Drosophila melanogaster: one gene and its partners. The protein of the gene in region 2 purifies or fractionates together with the protein of the main gene of each other region. This does not show direct contact. Each region holds a gene or a part of one and is shown on either strand. Other genes may lie near its edges.

The links.
Region 1: the proteins of Orco (region 2) and eIF2alpha purify together in Drosophila melanogaster (affinity purification with mass spectrometry, with the first as the bait; one large-scale study listed by BioGRID). This does not show direct contact.
Region 3: the proteins of Orco (region 2) and for purify together in Drosophila melanogaster (affinity purification with mass spectrometry, with the first as the bait; one large-scale study listed by BioGRID). This does not show direct contact.
Region 4: the proteins of Orco (region 2) and Act57B purify together in Drosophila melanogaster (affinity purification with mass spectrometry, with the first as the bait; one large-scale study listed by BioGRID). This does not show direct contact.

The regions. Positions count from the first base shown.
Region 1 is NC_004354.4:16,443,967-16,449,192, reverse strand, and holds eIF2alpha (eukaryotic translation initiation factor 2 subunit alpha), read left to right. Parts: upstream 1-2,199; 5' UTR 2,200-2,313; coding exon 2,314-3,008; intron 3,009-3,307; coding exon 3,308-3,638; 3' UTR 3,639-4,017; downstream 4,018-5,226. Other genes in the region: eIF4H1 (eukaryotic translation initiation factor 4H1), read right to left, coding at 464-495; CG34015 (uncharacterized protein), read left to right, coding at 973-1,162, 1,231-1,421, 1,495-1,533; rngo (rings lost), read right to left, coding at 4,435-4,803, 4,867-5,152, 5,217-5,226. UniProt on the Drosophila melanogaster protein: eIF-2 functions in the early steps of protein synthesis by forming a ternary complex with GTP and initiator tRNA. This pre-initiation complex mediates ribosomal recognition of a start codon during the scanning process of the leader region.
Region 2 is NT_033777.3:5,406,021-5,414,292, reverse strand, and holds Orco (odorant receptor co-receptor), read left to right. Parts: upstream 1-1,886; 5' UTR 1,887-1,898; intron 1,899-3,823; exon of another isoform or gene 3,824-4,021; intron 4,022-4,368; 5' UTR 4,369-4,369; coding exon 4,370-4,677; intron 4,678-4,747; coding exon 4,748-5,262; intron 5,263-5,359; coding exon 5,360-5,585; intron 5,586-6,000; coding exon 6,001-6,205; intron 6,206-6,566; coding exon 6,567-6,722; intron 6,723-6,790; coding exon 6,791-6,841; 3' UTR 6,842-7,110; downstream 7,111-8,272. UniProt on the Drosophila melanogaster protein: Odorant coreceptor which complexes with conventional odorant receptors (ORs) to form odorant-sensing units, providing sensitive and prolonged odorant signaling and calcium permeability.
Region 3 is NT_033779.5:3,653,633-3,659,132, reverse strand, and holds the start of for (foraging), read left to right. Parts: upstream 1-2,179; 5' UTR 2,180-2,411; exon of another isoform or gene 2,412-2,425; intron 2,426-3,547; 5' UTR 3,548-3,863; intron 3,864-5,500.
Region 4 is NT_033778.4:20,941,975-20,947,686, reverse strand, and holds Act57B (actin 57B), read right to left. Parts: upstream 3,667-5,712; 5' UTR 3,571-3,666; coding exon 3,531-3,570; intron 2,844-3,530; coding exon 1,753-2,843; 3' UTR 1,256-1,752; downstream 1-1,255. UniProt on the Drosophila melanogaster protein: Actins are highly conserved proteins that are involved in various types of cell motility and are ubiquitously expressed in all eukaryotic cells.

The DNA of each region.
Region 1 (5,226 bases), on a different chromosome or scaffold from region 2:
TGGCGCCGACGACAGCTGCAGCAGAGTTTTCCAAGAAAAACAACGCAAGCGATGAAAAGAATCGACAAAATAAAAACCGAAAAAGAATGTTAAGAAAAAAAAACGCACACTGCCCCTCACACACACCACACACACACACACACCACACACATACGCACACGCACGCACGTACAAAGGCGGCGGCGGCGGCGGTGTCGGCGACCAACGACCGACACGTACAATACACATGCACATTACTGTATGGGTGTGCGAGCGGCGAGGCGAGAGCGTGCGCGTGTGTTGGTGGGCTGGTGTTGCCTTTTTTTTTGCCCAAACCCCAAAAAACCGCGTGCATTATTACACATTTTGCCCAGATTGTCGGCACTCGCGCAATTCGATCGCATCGCGTCCACTTTCACAAGCACCGGCGGTTCGCGGCCAACGCGGAGCGTACGCTATTGCAAAAATAATTAATAATATTTACCTAGCGTGTTCATAACCACCTCTTCCAGCCATGTTTTATTTTTTTCAAATGAGCGAATTCGCTGCAAACCGCAGTGTGAACACACGGGCGAAAAATACTATCGCGGCGAATTTGGTCGGGCAGTGTCACCACACCAATTAGCTGATAGCCGCCTTTCTTAGTATTTTGGTCGTTAGCAGGGACGCATGCCCAATTGCGTCCAATTTTCAGATATCGATTAATATTTATAGTTGTTTAGCATTCTACAATTGTTCCTTTTCTAATGAAACATTCAAAAATGACATTGAATACATAGAGAGGAATACATATGTTTGTATAAATTTTTTTGTTGAAAAAAATAATACTAAAAGTAACTGGACACAAATGGTTTTTTTTAATACTGAAAATCTATTTAGCGGTATTTTTTTTTGGAGCACCAGGATAGTTCTTATCGTTATCGACAGTACAACTAATCAGCTGTGAAAGTACAAACTGCTATATTTTATATAGACTGAACTTAAAATTAAGTCATGGCGGACGACAACTGCATTTTCTGCCTAATTTCCGATGGGCGGATCCCCTCCACTGTTTTGGAAGTCGAAAACGATGACTTTGTCATCTTCCAGGACATTAAACCCGCTTCCCAGCACCATTACTTAGCAGTGACAAAAAAGCACTACGCTAGCCTCAAGGATCTTAACAAATCGCACGATTCTTTGGGTAAGATTGGAATTGGCGTGACCTCGGGCCATGCCCTAATAATTCTGATATCCTTGGATTCCTTACAGTGCAGCTCATGGAGAACGCCCTGAAGGATCTTCTGGTGTCCAAGGGAGTTTCTGTCGATGATGCCCTCTTCGGATTCCATCTGCCGCCGTTTATCACGGTGAAGCATCTTCACATGCATGCCATTAGCCCACGCACCCAAATGACCTTCCTATCTAAGATGATCTTTAGACCCTCCGTTTGGTTCAAAACCGTAAGTATTTGGCTATTCTGATTTTGACCACTTAGAGGCCCGCTTTAATTTAATCTTATCTATTTAATTATAGGTCGACGAGGCGCGTATTTACCTTTCCCAAAAAGAATAGATCGGGACCATCATAGATAACTGTTAGATAAATATATATTGTACTCGCGCGCTGTCATAATTAACTAATAAACGGAGCCAACCTATACAAATATTCTAATGTTCTTTAAATTAAAAGTGTAGCTTCTAAAAAAACCGATTCAAGCTACATGTCATTACATATTTAATGGCCTTTTTGTATGCGATAATATGCAACCTTTTAAAATGTTCTGCAAATTTAAACAGATAAATATGAAAAATGAAAATTTGACATATGGGAATTATCATCATAACATGGATAAAAAGTGACATATAGATAAAAGAACAACTGCTTTTTATTCCTATTTATCAGTATTAGCAATCTATATAACTTTTTGAGAATTTAACTTTTGGGTCAATTTTCGCAATTTTTGTAATATTGCAATAAATTTAACAAAAATTAACATTTCCAATTTGAAATTGATTGGTATTTAAATAACAAGCTCGCCAAGGGATGGCATTCCACATTTGGACTATTATTTCGAATGTTCTGATCAAAATTAAAACCAAAACAGTAAAATTTGAAATTGACCGGCAATCCATGTGACAAACAATCGATAGACCGCTGCTGCCCCACCTTTCCAGTGTGACCAGAAGCAATCCAATTGGCAACGTTTTGCCGGCTACGCAATTAAATATCGATAACACCACTGTCATACCTTACGCTTCTTCTTCTTGCGCCCGCTCGGCAGAAATTGTACACGTTTTTCATTTCGAAAAGTCCAAATTGCCCATTTTTTGGCCATAGACCACAGACTTTAACATGGCCCTGACGTCGCGCTTCTACAACGAGCGGTATCCGGAGATCGAGGATGTCGTTATGGTGAACGTGCTGTCCATCGCCGAGATGGGCGCCTACGTTCATCTGCTTGAGTACAACAACATCGAGGGCATGATCCTGCTGTCGGAGCTGTCCCGCCGGCGCATCCGCTCCATCAACAAGCTGATTCGTGTCGGCAAGACCGAACCGGTGGTGGTTATCCGTGTTGACAAGGAGAAGGGCTACATCGATCTGTCGAAGCGTCGCGTTTCGCCCGAAGATGTCGAGAAGTGCACCGAGCGCTTCGCTAAGGCCAAGGCCATCAACTCACTGCTCCGCCATGTCGCCGACATACTCGGCTTCGAGGGCAACGAGAAGCTGGAAGATCTCTACCAGAAGACCGCCTGGCACTTCGAGAAGAAGTACAACAACAAGACGGTCGCCTACGACATCTTCAAGCAATCGGTCACCGATCCCACCGTCTTCGATGAGTGCAACCTGGAACCGGAGACCAAGGAGGTCCTGTTGAGCAACATCAAGCGGAAGCTGGTCTCGCCCACTGTCAAGATCCGTGCGGACATCGAGTGCTCCTGCTACGGTTACGAGGGCATCGACGCTGTCAAGGCATCGCTCACCAAGGGCCTGGAGCTGAGCACCGAGGAGCTGCCCATTCGCATCAACCTGATAGCACCGCCACTGTAAGTACCTGTAAACTATTGTAATTTCCCTTGGTGTAGACGAAATTAACGAGGGTTTCTTTAATTAAAAGAATACGAAAATTGTAGATTTCTGTTCTTCATTTTAGCCGAAATTTATCGTTAAATAATAAGGAAATCCCTTTCATCTTGTATATATTGTAAATGACCACTTGGTTAAGAGAAAAACTTATATTCAATTTAATTTTACAACTTCTTGTGAAATCGAAATAACTAAAAATGTTGCTTAAATGAGTTAATTGGTTCCTAAACGTAATCGCTCTTCATCCGTATCCTTTTAGCTATGTAATGACCACATCCACTACCAAGAAGACAGACGGTTTAAAGGCTCTGGAGGTGGCCATTGAGCACATTCGCGCCAAGACCAGCGAGTACGATGGAGAGTTCAAGGTGATCATGGCACCCAAACTGGTTACGGCCATCGACGAGGCGGATCTGGCCAGACGCCTGGAGCGCGCTGAGGCCGAGAACGCCCAGGTGGCTGGCGACGATGACGAGGAGGATGGCGCCGACCAGGAGGGCATGCAGTTCGATCCAGAGAAGGAGTTCAACCACAAGGGATCGGGGGCGGGTCGTGCGAACGAGGAGGATGAGGAGGAGGAAGAGGATTAGCGTAGCCACAGCATCAGACACAACTATAGCAACTGTAACAAACAATTAAAGGAGTTTTGCAAAAATCAGAAGTTGTAATTTTATAATTTATATACATAACATATAACGAATGCTATTAAAGATTTATAAAAGTGAAAACAGCGAGATGCCCAAGAAGACAAATCAAAATGCGCTTGCTCATCTTTTTCTTTTCAAATCCAAAACAATACTATCGACCATTTATTATTGAACCCAATTCAGTTTTTCTTGACAGACCCTTAATACTAATTCAAATTGTGTATAAGTGTAATATTATTTAATAGTCAGGCATTCTTTCGTTTTTCTTTTGTATTTACTTGTTTCATGTTTTCGTTGATGCGGCTTGTTTCCATCACCGTCCAGATTTTCATTCATTAAATTTTAGATTATATCGCTTACTATTCTCTCTAGAAAAAACCAACCCACCTCTGCTTTAAAAATGACCCGGTAGTGCTGCGTAGCACCCTAATTAGATATTGTACATCGTAACAAACGATTCGTATAAAAAAAGTGACATCAGTTTATAAACATTTCACTAAATTAGAAAGGTTTTCGTTTCGGTATTCATTGCTTTGTGGTTGTGTATAGTCCTTACTATTTCCTATTTGACTTTATATGTGGCGTGGCGTGGCTTATTATTTGGTATTGCTCGGAGTATTTCGTTGGAACGGCTTCCAGTTAATGGGGTCCAGTCTGTTCATCATCCTATTGCAATCCGGTTTCTGGCTATGGGGAGTTCGGCTTTAGGTGGTGGTGTGGGCTGTGCGTCTAGCCGCGTTCAGCTGAGTTCGCTCCCCGAGGCGGCATCGTTGCGGTGGAGCAGCACGGACCTGGCCGCCTGCTTGTTACCGCCGCACAGGCGCAGCACGGTAAGCACATCGCTGCGAGGATAGCCAAGGGCCATGAGATCGGTGACATCCTGTTCGGTGAATCGTTCTTGAGGACTGATCGTGTTGGGCCCGCCACCGGCGCCACCGCTCTCCCGTTTGCTTTGCTCGATTGCATTGGAAATCGCCTCCTGTTCCATCGAATCCTCCGAGTTTCCTGTCAGCCGGGCGCTGACCGGCAGCTCACTTTCCGGCAGAAAGGGTGTCGTTGTTCCCGTGGTGCCAATAATCAACAAATTACGCTGCAAGTCAATCAGGCACTGGAAAAACCAATTCAATTAGCATTTAGGCGACGTAATCTGATGCTATCTAGATTTCATTACCTGATGTCGCTTCAGCATGTCCAGACCCAGCAACATGTCCATGGGTTGCTGGCCCAGCACGGTGAAACTGGACGTTAGGTGATCGTTCTCAATCTGCAACTGGACCATGTGTATCCTGCCCAGAATGGGCTGTGTGCCAACGCCCTTGGCCACACCATTCCAGCGTGTGTCAATCAGACGGTTGACATGGCATCTCTCGGCGCAGTCTTTGCTCATGATCGTCGTCTGGGCGCCAGAGTCCACAAAGGCCTTCACAGGAATGCCATTCACTTTGCAGTTGATATAGCTAATAATATGCAATATTGCAATGAGCCAATCCAATCATATTAATTATTTTTACCATTACTTACAGCATTGTAA
Region 2 (8,272 bases):
TCACTTCTCTTGTTGCATTTCACAGGCTCAACGAGCCACAGATAATGCACGTGAGTTGCTGAAGCTGCCAGATGGTTCAGATTGCTATGCCTTTAAATATAAAATGGAACACGTCCTTAAAAATTAAATATTATATACATATATATATAAGAGAGAACCCAAAATGGTATCTAAGCAGAAGTGCAACAATATAAAATTAAGCTTAGAATTATTATTATTTTAATAGCTATCACTATCGATTTGCACATTTTTATCCGTATGAAAATAAAAATTAGGCAAGACACTTAAAATTAAGCATGCAAATTCTAATCACATGATTATTATAGATTCTATTAATACTACTACTGAGCCAACTTATATCGATATTCAAATAATATTTGTATTTTAATCTTCCACACGTTATATAGGCATATTTAATGCACCTCATGCTTTTACATAATTGCCGAAAGAGTGGCAACGTCTTGCCACAGCGTCTCTTATAATTTTAAACTCGTGGAGCTGAGCCATCTCAGATTTAACTCTCCCTGCGCATGCTCTCGCGTGGGAGAACAACTTCGAATTTCGGGCAGAAGGATAACAAAGAAAGCACTCCAACGAAACGAACACCCTACAGACTAATATAGAACACCACAAGACCAAAACTCGTTTAGTTGCCGCGTTGACAACTTTGTGGCAGGCGGCAAACAAACAAACCTCACACTAGTCCTGAATGTCCTTTATGCGGACAGCTGTGGGGGCGGGGATCCTGTTGCAATTCCATTGTGAAAGCCAAATGCATTGACCTGCTTAGACAGCTGAGAGATTTACAACTCCCCTATAACTCCTGGCCGTGCTGCAGTTCTGGGAAAGGGAGCAGCGGCATTAAATGGCAAATAAATCTAAAGTTAAACTTTTGACACTGTCTCGGCGAGCAGCCACGAAGGCACTTCCTTCCGACTCCCTCGACTTCCGGTTGGAATCTGTCGCCCTGTCAGCGGCAACAGAAGAAGTGACACTGGCACGCAGACAAGTGCACTGAGAGAAATTGCTTCGGTCATAGCTCAGTGAAATACTAATTATTTCTGCTGAGAAATATTGACAATTTAAAACAAAAGTCATAAAATATGAGCATACATTTTTTATGATTAACTAAATACTAATGCATTCGTTAAATATATATATACCGCCGAAAACAAATTAAGACATTTCCTATTCTGTCAATTACAATTTCATATTCAGTTATATTGTTTTAAACTAAACTGGCGATATATAAACTTTCTGGCTGAAAAATCTTTCTGAAATTGTACACCAGCAATTTCTCCATGTGTACTACTGTGCGATGTATAAGGATTGGATTTATGAGCGCCCAGCACCTCTACCGAAATCTTATAAAACCCGGGAATAAATAATAATAATTCTTGCGCTTTTCGCTGTTGTTCGCATTTCCCGCATTTCTCTGCCATTCTTTTCCATTCTTATGACAATGTCAACATTTCTTTTGCTCCCCTAATGGCCTGAAGAAAGCACACGCACACACACACACACATATAGACCACTCGCACACTATGAAACCGAATGTGGCACACACCCCACGCACTTATTTATATGTATTTTCGATCGTCTGTTGTTTTTCCAAGTCGGTTATGCATAGCCATAAATTCTGGTAAAAGCCTTCTGTAGGTCGAGGGCCACGGCGGTCCGAAAATAAAGGAATTGCTCCTGATGCTGGCACTTACGCACACAGCCAAGCAGCAGGATGGGAGAGAGAGGACCTCGCACACACGGACTCACGCACTCACACGCAATTGGTGTTCTCGCCGTTTTTGTTTGTCACTTAACAGATTTTTCTGTCCTTGCTGGGTATTGATTTCTAATTTTTCCTTCGTCGGCTTTGCGCCCCAAAGAGGTTTTTATAATGTGTGCGTGTGTGTGTGTGTGTGTGTCGCATTGATTTCGCAATTTATGGGCGATTTGATGGATTGCTTGAATAACTTTATATGCTTATTTTTGAGTTTTTATTGTTTTACAACTTGCGGTATTTTATGTAGAGATCCTGTGGACGACCTAATGGAAATCATTTGGTTTTGGCTGAAATGCGGCCATAAAGGTGTGAATCAAAATAATGTTGCCTATACTTCGGGTATATCATTTCATATGGAAAGCGCTTAATAATAATTATATAAATATATAATTTCTAGTTAATGTGACTTTATTAACCCATTAGTGCGTTTTAATCATTTAATTTGGCATCAGAATCGATCACAGTCACGAACACAAAAGCGTAATGGTAAAAATAAAGGCTCATTTGTTTAAGTTGTAAATTAAATAAAGCAAGTGTCACTTTCCATTTAAATGTTGCCTAATAATTAATGACAAAAGGCTGCAGGGCTCACGATGTCCGCGGTTAGCTAATTGATCCAAACGCATCCGCGTAATTAAACTTTCAGCCACAAGCCCATAAAATAAATCAAAAAGCGAAGGACCGAAAGGGGCAACATTTAGGGGGGGGGGGCTTGTTTCGCATGGCTGAGTTCAGGACGATTAAACGTTAAATCAATATTGTTAAATCCCCGCTCGCATCCCCGCAATCCACACAGGCAAGTGTTCACGTATTAATTGATGTTCGTGAGTGTCCTGCATTTAAATAATCCATGATTTGGGACATCTGTGTCTGAGTTCCCATTCATATATGTATGCATATGTGTATATGAGTGGTGGAAACTAGCTGCAGATATAGCTACAGACACAGATACATTTACATTCCGGCACATAGTTTTAAGTGTGATTCAGTTATTCACAATAGTCGCCGCTTTTTGTTCTTGCCACGTTTTAATATTGTCACAACTAGTTTCGAATAACTAAATTGGATGTTTTCGATTAGCATTCAATACACTGCTCAGCAATTTCGTTTGCGTTGCAATTTGAGTACTAGATTTTGAATTAGACAATTGTTTTATTAATTGCCTACATGTATATTACCTAACTGATTTCGAAGGCCACTTGTACGACCTTGAGATAGAGTATTAATTATTTAAATTCTACTGTATTATAATTGCAAAGAATTGTAAGTATTCATAATATATAATGGCAACCCAATTTAAGACTTCTTTTGAAGGCCCCCGCCTACCGAAATTCAGTGCCTATGAGAACTGAGAACGAAAAAAATTGAGCAAGGACCAAATATCCATCAGGCTGAACACACACATTTTCATGCAAATAGGCAATGTGTTATTTTTTTGGGTCAGCGATTCACGGAGGGATCCCCACCAAATGGGTTGGCTGAGGAATGGCCTATCCCCATATCTCAGCGGCACTTGGGGCAGGCCAACAAATACAAGCAGGCATAATAAAATAATCGATGCTTTTAAAATTTGCATAAGTTTGGATACCGCAGATGCCGCGCAAGGATGAGCCCATCTCCAGTCCCAGTGCCATTCCGCCAGTGCGCATACGCCGCGTGGAGGGCACAGGACTGGGCCATGGCCCATGGCCCAAAAGCGGAGTCCTAGACCCGGAGACGACAGCAGTGGTGGACAAGTTCGTGGGCGTTCGATTTAATTGTGGGAATTCTGCGTCTGCCACGCACCCATCACATCGATGGACGTGGCTGAAGAGCTGAATTTTTAAGCGCTCCAAGGCGGCCCGATACCCATATTGTATATTTTCATTACCATGTGTGGGTCGGAGTGAAAGTCGCGGGCTAGGATTTAATGTGGCCTTGTTGCAGCCGTGGGAACTCGTCCTCAAAGTACACGTCCTTATGTACAGCGGAGCAAGTACCTAGCCGACAGAAGGAGCAGGCACTTGTCGACAGAGCTTTTTAACCTTCCGGATTTCACATTTCATTACCGTCGACATCGCGGTGCTGGCAGGTCAACTGTGTCCTGGTTCCGGAAAGCCTCATATCTCGTATCTTAAAGTATCCCGGTTAAGCCTTAAAGAGTGAAATGATTGCCTAGATGATTGCTGCATTACTGGCACTCAATTAACCCAAGTGTACCAGACAACAATTACATTTGTATTTTTAAAGTTCAATAGCAAGGTAATAGCACTGGGTCTTTCAATATTACAATATTACCAATTAGAGAACCATATATCGTACACAATTGTTCCACATTCCGAATTTAATAACTCACGATCGATAGCCAAATTAATATTAATTTGAGAGGACATGAGTCCACCTGAATATTCAATATGCATTATACATTATCCCGCTATGAATAAAACATTCCAAATCGATTCATTTCGGGCAGGAAAATTCCTTTTCTACTCGGCAAGCAAACCAAGGACTAATCACAAATACGGAATATTGAACAGATTACGTTCATAATAGCTGATTGTGTTGGCGAAACCTATTAATTTTGTCGTGCAATTTCCGCCGCTCAACAGGATGACAACCTCGATGCAGCCGAGCAAGTACACGGGCCTGGTCGCCGACCTGATGCCCAACATCCGGGCGATGAAGTACTCCGGCCTGTTCATGCACAACTTCACGGGCGGCAGTGCCTTCATGAAGAAGGTGTACTCCTCCGTGCACCTGGTGTTCCTCCTCATGCAGTTCACCTTCATCCTGGTCAACATGGCCCTGAACGCCGAGGAGGTCAACGAGCTGTCGGGCAACACGATCACGACCCTCTTCTTCACCCACTGCATCACGAAGTTTATCTACCTGGCTGTTAACCAGAAGAATTTCTACAGGTGAGCCTCTGCTCACCGCACCGAGCTTACGAACACTTGGGGAATTTAAAATTTTATGTTTTTCCGGCAGAACATTGAATATATGGAACCAGGTGAACACGCATCCCTTGTTCGCCGAGTCGGATGCTCGTTACCATTCGATCGCACTGGCGAAGATGAGGAAGCTGTTCTTTCTGGTGATGCTGACCACAGTCGCCTCGGCCACCGCCTGGACCACGATCACCTTCTTTGGCGACAGCGTAAAAATGGTGGTGGACCATGAGACGAACTCCAGCATCCCGGTGGAGATACCCCGGCTGCCGATTAAGTCCTTCTACCCGTGGAACGCCAGCCACGGCATGTTCTACATGATCAGCTTTGCCTTTCAGATCTACTACGTGCTCTTCTCGATGATCCACTCCAATCTATGCGACGTGATGTTCTGCTCTTGGCTGATATTCGCCTGCGAGCAGCTGCAGCACTTGAAGGGCATCATGAAGCCGCTGATGGAGCTGTCCGCCTCGCTGGACACCTACAGGCCCAACTCGGCGGCCCTCTTCAGGTCCCTGTCGGCCAACTCCAAGTCGGAGCTAATTCATAATGAAGGTGATTTGTTGAGTCTGAACCTAAACTTTTAGGCGGTTATTCAGTGAGCACTTCACTGAATAGGAAAATGCCATGACGAGCTGTTTTTCCATTGCAGAAAAGGATCCCGGCACCGACATGGACATGTCGGGCATCTACAGCTCGAAAGCGGATTGGGGCGCTCAGTTTCGAGCACCCTCGACACTGCAGTCCTTTGGCGGGAACGGGGGCGGAGGCAACGGGTTGGTGAACGGCGCTAATCCCAACGGGCTGACCAAAAAGCAGGAGATGATGGTGCGCAGTGCCATCAAGTACTGGGTCGAGCGGCACAAGCACGTGGTGCGGTGAGTTCAAATCCTGGCCAAATTGGACCAGCCATTTCAAGGGGGCTTTGGCCAGTGATGATTGGATTTTTGGCGATTTAAATGGCAGAGCAGTCCACTCATATTTCATGGACTTGGATTTTTGCCTTTAACAGAGCACCGAACATAATAAACACACACACTTTCCCCTCAGTTTTGTAAAACTTCAATAGGCGCCATCGGAACATGTGTTCTCATTTATTAGGAGCTCAACAGATCCCTGCAGCTTGTTTGACTTACTTGATTACTTCCTCAATTGCAATCATTGTTGGGGGCCCTAGAGGAATGTCCTTGTTTGTCCTGTCCGACAGTTGGCGTGTGCAGTTGTTGATACCAATATTGACTTGATTCCTGCCTGCAATCCCTCATCCTTTCCCCCGTTGCCTTTTCCCCACAGACTGGTGGCTGCCATCGGCGATACTTACGGAGCCGCCCTCCTCCTCCACATGCTGACCTCGACCATCAAGCTGACCCTGCTGGCATACCAGGCCACCAAAATCAACGGAGTGAATGTCTACGCCTTCACAGTCGTCGGATACCTAGGATACGCGCTGGCCCAGGTGTTCCACTTTTGCATCTTTGGCAATCGTCTGATTGAAGAGGTGAGTTTGTGCAGGGTTGCAAGATAAATTTATAAGTAAATCAGACATCAGTCTCAACTGATTAATAATCGAGAACATCCTTATTTGAGTTATAGGGATATTTATAAAAAATTTTGAGACTTCATTAAAACTAAATGAATTGTAAGTTGAGAGTCAACAGATTGGTCCGTTCACTACAAGCTAACCAGTGTGTTTTTTCCATGTGGTAGAAATAAAAGGGTGTTTTTGCGTATGAGATAAAATTGAACCAATGTTTTCAAGTTTATAGATTGGGAAACATACATAGTTCTAAACGTTGTTATAGTTATAGTTTGTGTAGTTAGTTATCTAGAGCATCCTTAATACGACTTTCATTTCGCAGAGTTCATCCGTCATGGAGGCCGCCTACTCGTGCCACTGGTACGATGGCTCCGAGGAGGCCAAGACCTTCGTCCAGATCGTGTGCCAGCAGTGCCAGAAGGCGATGAGCATATCGGGAGCGAAATTCTTCACCGTCTCCCTGGATTTGTTTGCTTCGGTTTGTTGCATTTGATTTATTGATCTATTGATGGAGTTAAAACTGAATCGGATATTCCCGATTCGCAGGTTCTGGGTGCCGTCGTCACCTACTTTATGGTGCTGGTGCAGCTCAAGTAAGTTGCTGCGAAGCTGATGGATTTTTGTACCAGAAAAGCGAATGCCAAGAAGCCACCTACCGCCCCTTGCCCCCTCCGCACTGTGCAACCAGCAATATCACAGAGCAATTATAACGCAAATTATATATTTTATACCTGCGACGAGCGAGCCTCGTGGGGCATAATGGAGACATTCTGGGGCACATAGAAGCCTGCAAATACTTATCGATTTTGTACACGCGTAGAGCTTTTAATGTAAACCCAAGATGCAAACTAAATAAATGTGTAGTGAAACTCGAAGGTTTAATGGGGGGTTAATAGAATAGAAACAGGCGGAGTTTATTTCATTTTAAATTTCGAATTCATTCGAATTTATTTGCATCTTAAGTATTAATATATATATATATTCTGCATATACAATATAAAATCTAGAATATTGTCAACTATAATATATTTTGGTTTAGCAAACTCAAATAGAGAACTGTTTCTCAATTACTTTAATGTGTGTTATGAACTTTTTTTTCTGAGCTCCATTGTTAAATTGCTAGTTTAGATTCAAGTTGGGTCAGGAGCGGCTTGTAGTCCATCAATTAGTTTTAATTCAATAATTATCGGTGCTGTTCACATGATAAGCGTGGAATTTAATGGGCTAGACGCCGTGTTTATCGCATCACTGGCTTGCATGCCGCAATTTTCACGGCAAACGTATGTGCAAAACGAACTAAATTTAGGAATAAATGCGGATTATAATCATAATCTTTGGGCCGTAGTCGTTTTGGCCACATTTTTGGCAACTGTTGGCGCAACAGCAGAAGCAGTATGAGTACGATTAGAAACGGCCAGCCATCGTCAGCAGTTGCAGTGGCAACAATTAAAAGTGGCAAAAGTGTAATTCGGAATCATACTGTCGAGCGTGGTTGTGGATCTCCACACGCTTAGCTCCACTTACATAGCTCTCCTATATTTTTGCCGTTTTGAAAGCGCACTTTATGGTTTTCAAAATTGCCCAACTGGGCCGTCTGACTCCGCGGCGGGTTAAAACTGAAGCAACAACAAGAAAACGCTCCACGGCGCGAACTTTTAATGCGGCCACGCTCCGTACATTTGGCGGAGTTTTTATTTCTTGCAGCTTTCATAAAACAAAAACGAACCAACGAACGAAAAGTGACTACAACTAAAATTGCGCCAAGAGTGTGCGCCAGATGGGGCAAGACGAGGTGGGGCGAAGTATCTGTATCTGCTGGATACCCCTCTCCATGCAACCGCTGCTTACTGTTAATTTCTTTATTGCGCACACTTTCGTCTGCCAATGAAAGTTTCTTGACTTTGGCTAGGGGGGGAACGCAACAACAACAACAACAACAACAAGAGCGGCTACTGAAACTACTTAATTTATAAGTCTATGGTTTAATTAGTTTTCTTTCTTTCGCGCTTGTTTTGTATCTTTGGGGCC
Region 3 (5,500 bases), on a different chromosome or scaffold from region 2:
GGCATGTCTTCGACTACAATTTGGGAATACAACAATTTGGAAGAAAAGGCGGAGTGGCATGGTAATCGTTCTATGAAATGCCTAAATAAAATAAATGGCTAAACAGAATTAGAGTGAAAGGAGCTGCGGCCCAAAAGTATGCGGAATGGCGTTTATTCAATGTTATTTATTGGGAAATGCGGTATCGCATTTAGGATATTTTATTTATCATACGGCTGTACATAAGTGGTGAATTTCTTATTTACGACGAACATTATTTGGCTCTTTTTTTATTGCAAGAAATAAGTGTTTTTTCGAAGAAAGGGTAACAATTTTGTTAAACAATTTAGCTTTTAGTATATTATATATTATAAGATCACATCTTTCCACTCTAAAAGCCAACGAAATTAATTAAAAGCGCAATTAATTTGTTTGACAGCTGAAGAAAACAGACGCCAAGCTTTTGGCTTATTTACAATAAGGGGGTAGAATGGGGGGCCAAAATGGCTGAAAGGGGTGAGGGGGCGGCAGGGGAGGCTGGCTTTTTTCTCCTTTCGTTTGTCTGATTCTGTCGGAATAATAAAAGTAATTTAATTTTAATGAAATTGTTAATACGAAAACAATTTCATTTTGCAAAAAGTTTTGCCTGGGCCAAAAGATGGGCAGAGACGGGGGTGGTGGGGTGTGGAGAGAGAGTGAAATTGCTCGTGACAATGAGTGAACGGGAAAACAACAAACAAACAAACAGGAGTGCGAGAGAAAAGAGAAGGCCAAACGAGCAAACACTACGGTACAGAAAATACAAAAATGCCGTCGCAAAGCCAAACAAAAAAGGCACTGCACAAGCGAAAGAGACAGAAGGAGGGAAAGAGAAAGATAGGGAATGCGAGAAATGAAATGCTGATGCGAAGATTTAATAAATGAAATTGGTGTGTGATTAAAAACACAAAAACCAAACGAAATCCATCTAATCAACTTTTGCTGCCGCCTCACTTTTCCTCTACTTTCTCCTCCTCCTTTTCCACCGACCCGTTTCTCCTTTTGTCCTTTCTCCCAGCTGCTATCTCTTTCCTTCCTTCCCGGCGACGTCGACTGCGAGAGCGGCAGAGGGGTGAAAAGAGGGTTGCGAAGTTGGGGAGGGGTGGCACAATACTGGGGGTGGGTGGTCTTAAGTTTGCAACGCCTTCTTGAGGGAAATTCCCGACCAAAGATCCTTGGATTTTTCTAACCTTACGAAATTGTACATAAATAACGGTTAAAATTAATAAATAATTTTTACAATATGTTACTTATTCCACTTAAACATTTATGTTTAATTAAAAAATTTTGAATTTTCAACATGTTTCAAAAAATGTCTTTTTATGTACCATAAAAGATCGGAAAATTCATTCTACCTGTTATATACTTCTTAACAAATCTAGTATACCCTCTTACGAAACGAGTTAAATAGTAAAATTTCCCAGTTTCTTATTCCCCTTTTGGGATTTTCTCTCTTCTCAGGCTCCACCCCTACATATGAGCAGAAAATGGCTCTGAAATGCCTATACATACACATATTTACATACATGACGGCCAGTTGCTATGACATTCTACATCTTACATGCATAATAAATCTGAAATGTAACGTACAACGTAAGTTAGAAATCACTAAAATGAAAAATGGCGCTGTATTAGTTCCAAAAACAAACACCATTTGTCGTAAACGGATAGGCGTTGTGTGCTGTTAGTTCCAAAAGTATACGAGAAAAGTTGAATAAATCATGGCGCAGAGTTAATCCTGCATTGGCAATTTATAATACTAGATTAATTTAAGACCGATCTTGACCAACTTCAATGATGATTTCATTCGGAATGATTATTAAAATCAAACTGATACATCATCTCTGAGAGAACTAGCAGGGAAAATATTATAAATTCTACTACTCTACTAAATCTACTCCTTTCACATAGTATATTTACGTTAACAAACAAAGTACACTTTTATTAATATGAATATTTTGTTATTTGATTAAAGTAATTAATTTGTAGAAAGGATTGAGCATAATATTGTTTTAAATTTTTTTTTTCTATCTCAACGCTAATTCATAACATTGCATCAGAAGAGAAAATAATTTTTTAAAAATTAAGAGAAAAAATGCTAATGTGCTCTTTATTTCATAATATTCGAGTAGTGGTAGCGAGTAAGTTGTTTGTTTCATTTTCAGTCTGTTGGAATTTCTCGTGCTGTGCGGTTGTCATTTGTCGCGATCGTGCTTGGAATTGACTTTAGCGGCATTTTTATAAGAATCAATGCAACGCGTGGTTTTCCTGCAAATTTTGGCACAAGTTCTTAATAAAAGAAAAAAAATATATATATATATGGCATTGGCGTTTATCAGAATAATCCACATCGCCATTTAGTTCGGTGGTTTTTCATCGACTTGTGCTTGTGTGTGCGTGCCACTTGGTTAGTTGTTGCTGCTTTCGCTAGTCGTACGATCTAGCATTTGTGCTCAATTCTGAATTCTAAAATAAAACAACAACTAGCGTTTTCCATATGTGCAACTATTTGCCTTAAAAAGCAATTAAAGCAAAGGCAGTGGTTAAAGTTGACTAAATATTAGTAAAACGTGAATTGTGAATGCAGTTTTGGTGCATTAAGCGAAGAGAGTGGAAGAGAGAGCGGCTCTCTTTTAGTTTGTGATTTCAAAGTGGAAAATTATTAATTCAAATGCAGTCTGCAATTAATTTCATGGAAAATCACTTGTTAGCTGCTCGTTCGCTCTGTCTCTTTCGCACTTCAGCTGACGAATTTTCCGTGCTAAACTTGACACTTTTCAGTCCATCATTCCAACTAATTCTTTGACTGCAGTTTTGCGTCGCATTTCCTTTCTACGCCGATCTGCCTCTTTGCCTTTCTTTTCTCTGATATATTTCAACAGAAGCTCAGTTGTTGTTGTAACTACTCCTCCTCCTTTTTGTTACTTGCTGCTTGTTTTTGTTGCTCGTCATGTACAATTTTTTCCAATTTGTGCGCCTTTTCATATTTTATTCTGCCGCGCTGTTTTTCTGTTTTCTGTTTCTGTCTCGCCGCCGCTACTATTTTTAGCAACAAGTATGGCTGATGTTGTTGTTGCTGCCGCTCAAGTTAACTACGCTACGCTGGCAGAAACAACAACAAGTCAAACTATGCGGAGCGAGAGAGAGTGAACTGAAAACAAAAAGAGTGAGCGATAAAATCCGCGAGAAAGAGTACAGTGGGGCTCGACTTAAATTATCATATTAAGCCAGATCACAAGTATTAACAAATCGAATGTTCTTAAATCCAATAAGCGTTAATCAGCAATGTTGATCAAAAGTTTTAAAATTATTTAATCGATATCAGTGAACTATTGAATACTATTGGTAAAAGCTCAGTCTTGTTTGCATCTTCAAGTGGGGGTCCCACTGTATTCGACTCAGGTGATAACAATAACAGCGACGAGTGAGAGAACTCTCTCTCACTCTCTCTCCTTCATTTCATTTCCCAATCTTTCGTGTTCGTGTTCTGTGGCTAATAGCATTTAAATTTTAATGCCCAATTTCATAGAAACGCAACGCAAGTGGAAAGACTCGAGAAAACAAAAGTGCAGGCCGTCTAAATTGATGGCGAAGTTTCGTGTGCCGCCTGCATTTCATTTATAAATATATTTTCGGCCTTAATTCTGTGCTTCCTGTGAATTAACGAGGAAACTGAAGAGTGCGCGAGCGAGACAGCCGATCACAAATCAACAAGTGGAAACGAAGAAACTTTCTTCGCAAAAGCCGGCTGATCGCAACAACAAGAAGAAAAGAGAGCGATTCTCTGCGACTGGAACCATAACATTTACATCGACCCTGGAATTTCTTCACTTTTCGTCCAACATGTAAGCTCCATTTTAATATGCAATTACTGTTCGCTGTTGTCGAACAGCAACTTATTTATTCATACTTATTGTTTATTTATGGATTTATGCCGCCTACGAACTTTGTGATTGCACAATCGTTCGGCCTTTGAATAATTTTTTTTTTCGCCAAGGCGCCCTTTTGTCTATATACCCATCTCTTTCGACTGCTCCAGTGCTGTCTTTTTCTGGTCCGTGCTTTGAATAAACAATTAAGGCTCAGGGTCTTTAAGCCCTTTTCTCCGCCTTAGAGCCGAAAGTGATTGTTGTAATTTATAATTTATATTTCCTTTCTTAATAAATAAATAAATAGTCAAGTTTATGTTTGAGTTTTATGATTTATATTTTAAGTTATTTCAACTGCAACACCAGCACCACGACCTACTCACAGCAAAAAACGTACAAGAAGGAAAGAAGGAATAAAAAGAGTGGTATTCTCTTACAATATGTTTTATGGCATAAAAGGTGTGGCCATTCATATCAAATATAAAGTAGTGTTGTTTAACGTTATTTTTGTAGGTTGAATAGTATATTCCAACACGCCCCCTCAAAAATAACGTCTATAATTAAAAACATAACAATAATATTCATTAGTAACTATCAAATGTGGGTGGTGTGCATTCTGGGAAGTGTTAACTGATCCAGCATTTGCTGCGAGGATACGGGGAAAACCCAGAAAAACCCGATCAGATCATTGTAACAAAATATGTTTACAGGAATTTAAATTTGAAAAATATATATAAAAATTTCATTCAGCATTCGATTGGTCGTCTTGCAGCAAACCCAATTTGTCTCGTAACTCCACAAATCTCGCAGCAGGCAACGGTTTTGTAAATATGTCAGCCAGTTGATTCTCTGTAGGAATATACTCAAGACAAATCACATTATTCTGAACTTGCTCTCTGGCAAAATGATATTTAATATCAATATGTTTAGCTCGTTTATGACATGAGGGATTGTTTGCTATGCTAATACAGCCTTGATTGTCTTCGTAAATTTTAATGGGGTTTTCTAGTTTAATGTTAATACTAGTTAATAAAAATTTAAGCCATAGAGCTTCTCTCACGGCTTCAAATAGGGCCATATACTCAGCTTCAGTTGATGAGGCTGCTACTGAGTTCTGTCTCTTTGTATTCCAACAAATGAGATTAAAATCAAACATTTTGAATAAATACCCTGTTGTACTTTTTCTATCAATTTCACTACCAGCCCAATCAGAATCCACATAACCAATAATTTTATTTTCAAATGCCAAGTTCTTTTTAAAAATCAATTTCATATCGATAGTGCCCTTCAAATATCTAAGAACTCTTTTTAAGTTCTGCCATAATTCGGAGTTATTTTTGCTACTATATCTGCTCAAGATATTTACTGCAGTAGTTAAATCTGGGCGTGTACAAAGCATTATGTACATTAAACATCCTATGAGGCTACGGCATGGGGTATTGCAGTCTTCATCTGAATTAAGTAATTCATAATTTATTTTACTAGGTAAAGGAGTACTAACTGCATTACAATTTTCCATGTTAAATTTACTTAAAATTTTTTTAACATATGCAGATTGGCTTAAATAGATTTTATCTTCCTGCATCTCTATCCTAATTCCAATAAAATGTTTT
Region 4 (5,712 bases), on a different chromosome or scaffold from region 2:
TACTCTTAGTATGGATAAGGATTCGAGTGCGATTCCGAATCGGGGGAAATGGAAGCGCCTTGAAGAACTGGATGCCCTCATTGTTGTTGGTTGGCAATCGGAGCAGCTATATATAATTGACCATATGGGTCGTTTTGTGCGGCATACTTCAAGTCGCAATCGTAAATGGGCGTGGAGGTACTTACTTATGTATGTGCCTTACTCGATTCGAAATATTTGCGCTCTTTATTATGAATTTTAAATCGAATTTGTATGGAAATTAAGAACTGAATATTGCATTATGACGACGACGTCGACGATATTGTGTACGTGTTTATTTTTGTTTTTGTGCAAATTGATTAGTGGGTTAAGCCCGTTTAAGTCGAGGGTTGGTAACTTCTCATTCCGGCATTTGTTTCCTGATTTCGGATTTGGGATTTCTGTTTCCCGATTTCTGATTCCCAATCCTGTTTGTTGTTGTGCAGCGCGGCGTAAAGTGATTCGCTTGAGAAAGTGAATTCCGAACGGGCAAGTTGCGCCCATTTTTGCCCATCTCGTCGTGCAACTCATTAGCGGCATCTGTCGCCCCTTTTTGGCCAAGTGCCAGCGATTTGGGCCCATTAATTACCCATTTGTATGTGGCTGCAACTGAAATTGCAACAGGCGACACGACCGCGAATACAAATTTCATTCATAATGCACATCGAGTTCTAATTAAACGGCCCAACGCCATTTTGACTAATTGTCTTGGCAATCTCGGCGAGAACATTTGTCTCTGGCATTGCCACCATACACTATATATGTATATATTCCATCCATTATTCCTCAAAGTGAAATGCATTTCTGGTAATCAGTTTGCCGAGAGCGGCAACAAATTGACATTGGCAATTTGTTTTGGCCGCCGCCTTTGATCATCCATCCGACTTGCGTCATCTCCGATCGTATTTCCTCATGGCATAAACAAACAAAAAATCGCTCGCCTGTCCGCCGCCTCACCCATTTTGGAATGCGTCTAAAAATATTCGAAAATCGTTTCGAAACCAGAAATATTTTGGGAATAGAAAGCTTTACGGTATGGTATTCGGGAAATTTGAAACGCACCGTCGCGTCTGGAGGTGAAAAAAGCTCACACATCACACATAGATCCATAAATGTACATATATATTGTATGTATCTTGAACTACTGATCGATGGAAAGCTTCGGCTAGGATTTGCTTTCCCGGCTAGATGCCCCCCCCCAATTTTTTCCAAAATCTCTATGTTTTTAGAAAAAATTAAATCTAAAAAATCGTTTTTATTTATAAATAATTATAAATTGTTTTAATTAATATTACAATCATGAGATTATTTTACATTTCGTAGTCAATAGACCCCATCCGCTCTATCGGGGAAGTTGTTAGGTTCTGTACAAAATACATGAGGGTGTCGGTTCATTCGTAAAACAATCAAATGGCGATCAACATTTAAGGAAACCGCGAGCGATTAACAAGTGGATGGGGATCGCGGTCCGTGGCATTAGATTGACAATTCATTTTGATTGATGGTGTTGTGTTCAGTCAGTACAAAAGAGTATTCTCGAACCAAGGATGACACGTTGGTAAATAATGACATTCAAAAACAAATGGTTGGATGGTGGTGGTGTTTGTTGTTTTTGCCGGTGGAGCACCAGCCGCCCACACACCCAGAACCACCACAAATAGCAGGACCAGATGAGCAGGAGACAGGTGAGTAGACCGGGTGGTGCTAGTGTTGGTGCTAGGCAACTGCAACTGCTTAGAAGCACTTGCGGTGGACGATGCCAGGGCCGGACTCGTCGTACTCCTCCTTGGAGATCCACATCTGCTGGAAGGTGGACAGAGAGGCCAGGATGGAGCCACCGATCCAGACGGAGTATTTGCGCTCTGGGGGAGCAATGATCTTGATCTTGATGGTGGATGGGGCCAGGGAGGTGATCTCCTTCTGCATACGATCGGCAATACCGGGGTACATGGTGGTGCCACCGGACATGACGATGTTGGCGTACAGGTCCTTACGGATATCCACATCGCACTTCATGATGGAGTTGTAGACGGTCTCGTGGATGCCGCAGGATTCCATTCCCAGGAAGGAAGGCTGGAACAGGGACTCGGGGCAACGGAAACGCTCGTTGCCGATGGTGATCACCTGTCCGTCGGGAAGCTCGTACGACTTCTCCAGGGAGGTGGAGGCGGCGGCGGTGGCCATCTCCTGCTCGAAGTCCAGGGCAACATAGCACAACTTCTCCTTGATGTCACGGACAATTTCACGCTCAGCGGTGGTGGTGAAAGAGTAGCCGCGCTCGGTCAGGATCTTCATCAGGTAGTCGGTCAAATCGCGACCAGCCAGATCCAGACGGAGGATGGCATGGGGCAGAGCATAACCCTCATAGATGGGGACGGTGTGGGAGACACCATCACCGGAGTCCAGAACGATACCGGTGGTACGACCGGAGGCGTACAGGGAGAGCACGGCCTGGATGGCGACGTACATGGCGGGCGAGTTGAAGGTCTCAAACATGATCTGGGTCATCTTCTCGCGGTTAGCCTTGGGGTTCAGGGGGGCCTCAGTCAGCAGGACGGGGTGCTCCTCGGGGGCAACACGCAGCTCGTTGTAGAAGGTGTGGTGCCAGATCTTCTCCATATCATCCCAGTTGGTGATGATACCGTGCTCGATGGGGTATTTCAGGGTGAGGATACCACGCTTGGACTGGGCCTCATCACCGACGTACGAGTCCTTCTGGCCCATACCGACCATCACACCCTGGTGGCGTGGACGACCGACGATGGAGGGGAAGACGGCACGGGGAGCGTCATCACCGGCGAAACCGGCCTTGCACATGCCGGAGCCTGCAGGATAACACAATCGAACAGGGGTCCATTAGTGGGCGCTCGAGTGCTTCATGTGGGGTTTCCCACACTGGGAGTCTAACATTTGCTCTAACGGACAGCGTGAAAAAGTCTGGCGACTAAGTCGAAAAAACTGGAAAAGTTTGGGGCGGAGAGAAAAATTCTCTCATGAAAATATGTGATCTGTCTTCTTCTCTCGTATAGAGAAATATCTGAAGATATATGATTTCTGAAATATTCCTCTTCTCTAATATCATGATCTCTTGAAAAGCTTTCAAGCATCAAAACTTATGAAAGTGATTCGGGCACAAAAAATCTTTATAAAACTTATGCAAATCGGTTTTGATTCTGTGCAAAATATAATATTTTAGCTTTTCTTTATCTGAATATTTATGATTCTTTGACTTGAATTGAAAATATTGCTCAATAACTAATATTTAAAATATATATTTCTCGAAATCATCCAAGGCATTGGAATATTTTTTTTGTTATATTCAAATTTCTAATTGCTTGTGTCCCGAAGGATGCGTGAGTTAATCACAACTCGAAAATCGTTCACTTTGCGATCACTTTAGCACTAGATGCGGGAATATCCTTTCGCTGTTGGGTCCTTTGTCTATTTCTCTTTCTTTTTTTTCTCTTTTAGCAAAAGCCAAGACGATAATCCGTTCGATGGGGAATACGCACCATTGTCAACGACCAGAGCAGCAACTTCATCGTCACACATTTTGTTTTAGTTTTGTTTTTTTTACGGCACCACGGGTGAATTAAATCAAGAGTTACGGTGTGTACGGCTTGGAACACAACTGACTGACTAAAGTATCGCCGCGTTGGTACTCGGATTTTATACCGCCGCCGAAATGCCATCTCGTCCAAGAAGCGCCGTCGCCATGCCCCCCGCCGCCACCGCCCCCGCCACGCCCCCATACCAATGGCAAAAGAAATACTCAAACGAATACACACAGCGAGGAAATATGCTCATGGATGCGATAATGCTGCCCACCGGCCGATCCGCCTAAAAATAGATCCTTCAGCATAGGGGGCTCTTTGGAAAACATAAGGCGAACGAGCGAGAGGCACAATATGGTATGGCATGCTATACGTATAGGAATACCATATAGCATATAGCGCAGTATAGTTCGGCGTGATCGAGCGTGGAGATCGTATCGGTTGGGATCGGGCACGATCGGCTGCCTGCTCACGATCGTTTGCAGTCTCAAAAAGTGCCGTATAAGGCAAGGAGGCGCCTCCAGCACACTCACACTCGTTTGCTCATTCTCAGCGAGTCGCTCTCTCTCTCTCTCCTGTTCTCCCACTATATCGGCCATATCGGCTATATCTGCTATATCTGCTATATTTGCTATATGTTTCGGTTCGGTTTGGATACTTTTTGGGTCGGTTCGTTACGGTGGGGGATTGGGTGGGTGGATATATTCGCTTTGTTGCTGGCTTCTATTTTCTCGTACGGCTCGTTGTTTTCATAACTTTCGTGTTTTTCTCATGTCGTAATAAATTCATTTTCTATTTTCGATATGTACACACACACAAACGCACAGCCTTAGTCAAATCGCATCTCTATCATTTCCCAGCCTTTGCACCTTCATGCCTTTCGTTTCTAATTTTGGTCATATTTCTCATTGCGCTCTCGCCCAAGATCCACGCCCACGCCCATGTCTACGCCCCTCGTGCAATGAGCATTATATTCAACTAATTGTTTATTTACAAATCGGGCTGTAAGATGTTAGTAAGGGGGATGGGAGGGGGGAGCTTAACCGTTACATGCCGGCTTTGCAGGGTACCCATTTAAATTGGGTTCGGTGCAATCTATTTTTGGGCTGCAACTAAGTGGGGCATGTTTACGTTTTATGGCACAATCCGGTGAGGCCAATCGTTGCTGTGGATCCTCCACACTCTCCTCCTCCACACATTTTACCCAATTCTCGCTGTATTCAAATACTTGGATACAGATGTATGTATTTGTGGCGCGGTTCGGTTGCTATACTACATGGAAAAACAAATGGATGTCGCTAAATTAGATTTGGGGCCCCATGCATATTCATTCTATAAAACGTGTATTTTCGCACGTACATATATGTATCTTTGGATACATAACACCAATAAGGTTGAGTTCCAGCTTCCCGAGGAAGAATGACTAATCCCTTAACCTAAATTGCAAAAATTAATCTATCAAAAGAATCGGTCTAGTTCGAATAGGATTATTTTCGAACTAATTTTAGACGGTTCTAAATATAGATCAAATGACAACAAGCAAGGTATTCCTCCAGAGTTGCCAGAGAGACAAGTAGGGCATATTTTTATTTTATGATTGTCGCCTTACTGATTACTATAATACTTATTGCAAATTTATAATAATTGCTTTTTAATAGGTATAATAATAATAATAATAATATAATATAATAACTTTAATAATAAGTATAAAAATAATAGTTTTTAGTGATATGCCTACAACAATTGTATATTTTCTATATTTTTCAATAATATTTTTTTTCTAATTTTCTAATTATTTTTTATTCCGGAAAATACATTTAAGTATTAAATATTTATTAGGTTTAAATAAGATGAGCATAAATTATTTAAGGTATGATTCTACTTAACAGCATGTTTTCATTTTGAATCTTCAAAATGTTTAAAATCCCACGTTTTTTCAAAAAACTTCTTTAATTAAAATCTAAAGGACACGAGTGAGCTTATCATTTAAAATGTTTTTTTTTTTAATAAAAATTAGCAATCGGCATAATTTATTTCTTTTATACCTTCACATTATCCTCAGCGGCTGTGAAATAATTCCCTGTTTGTTTTTTGGACTGCCTTAAAAAATGAGGGTAAGCACGAAAAGTTTCTCATCAAA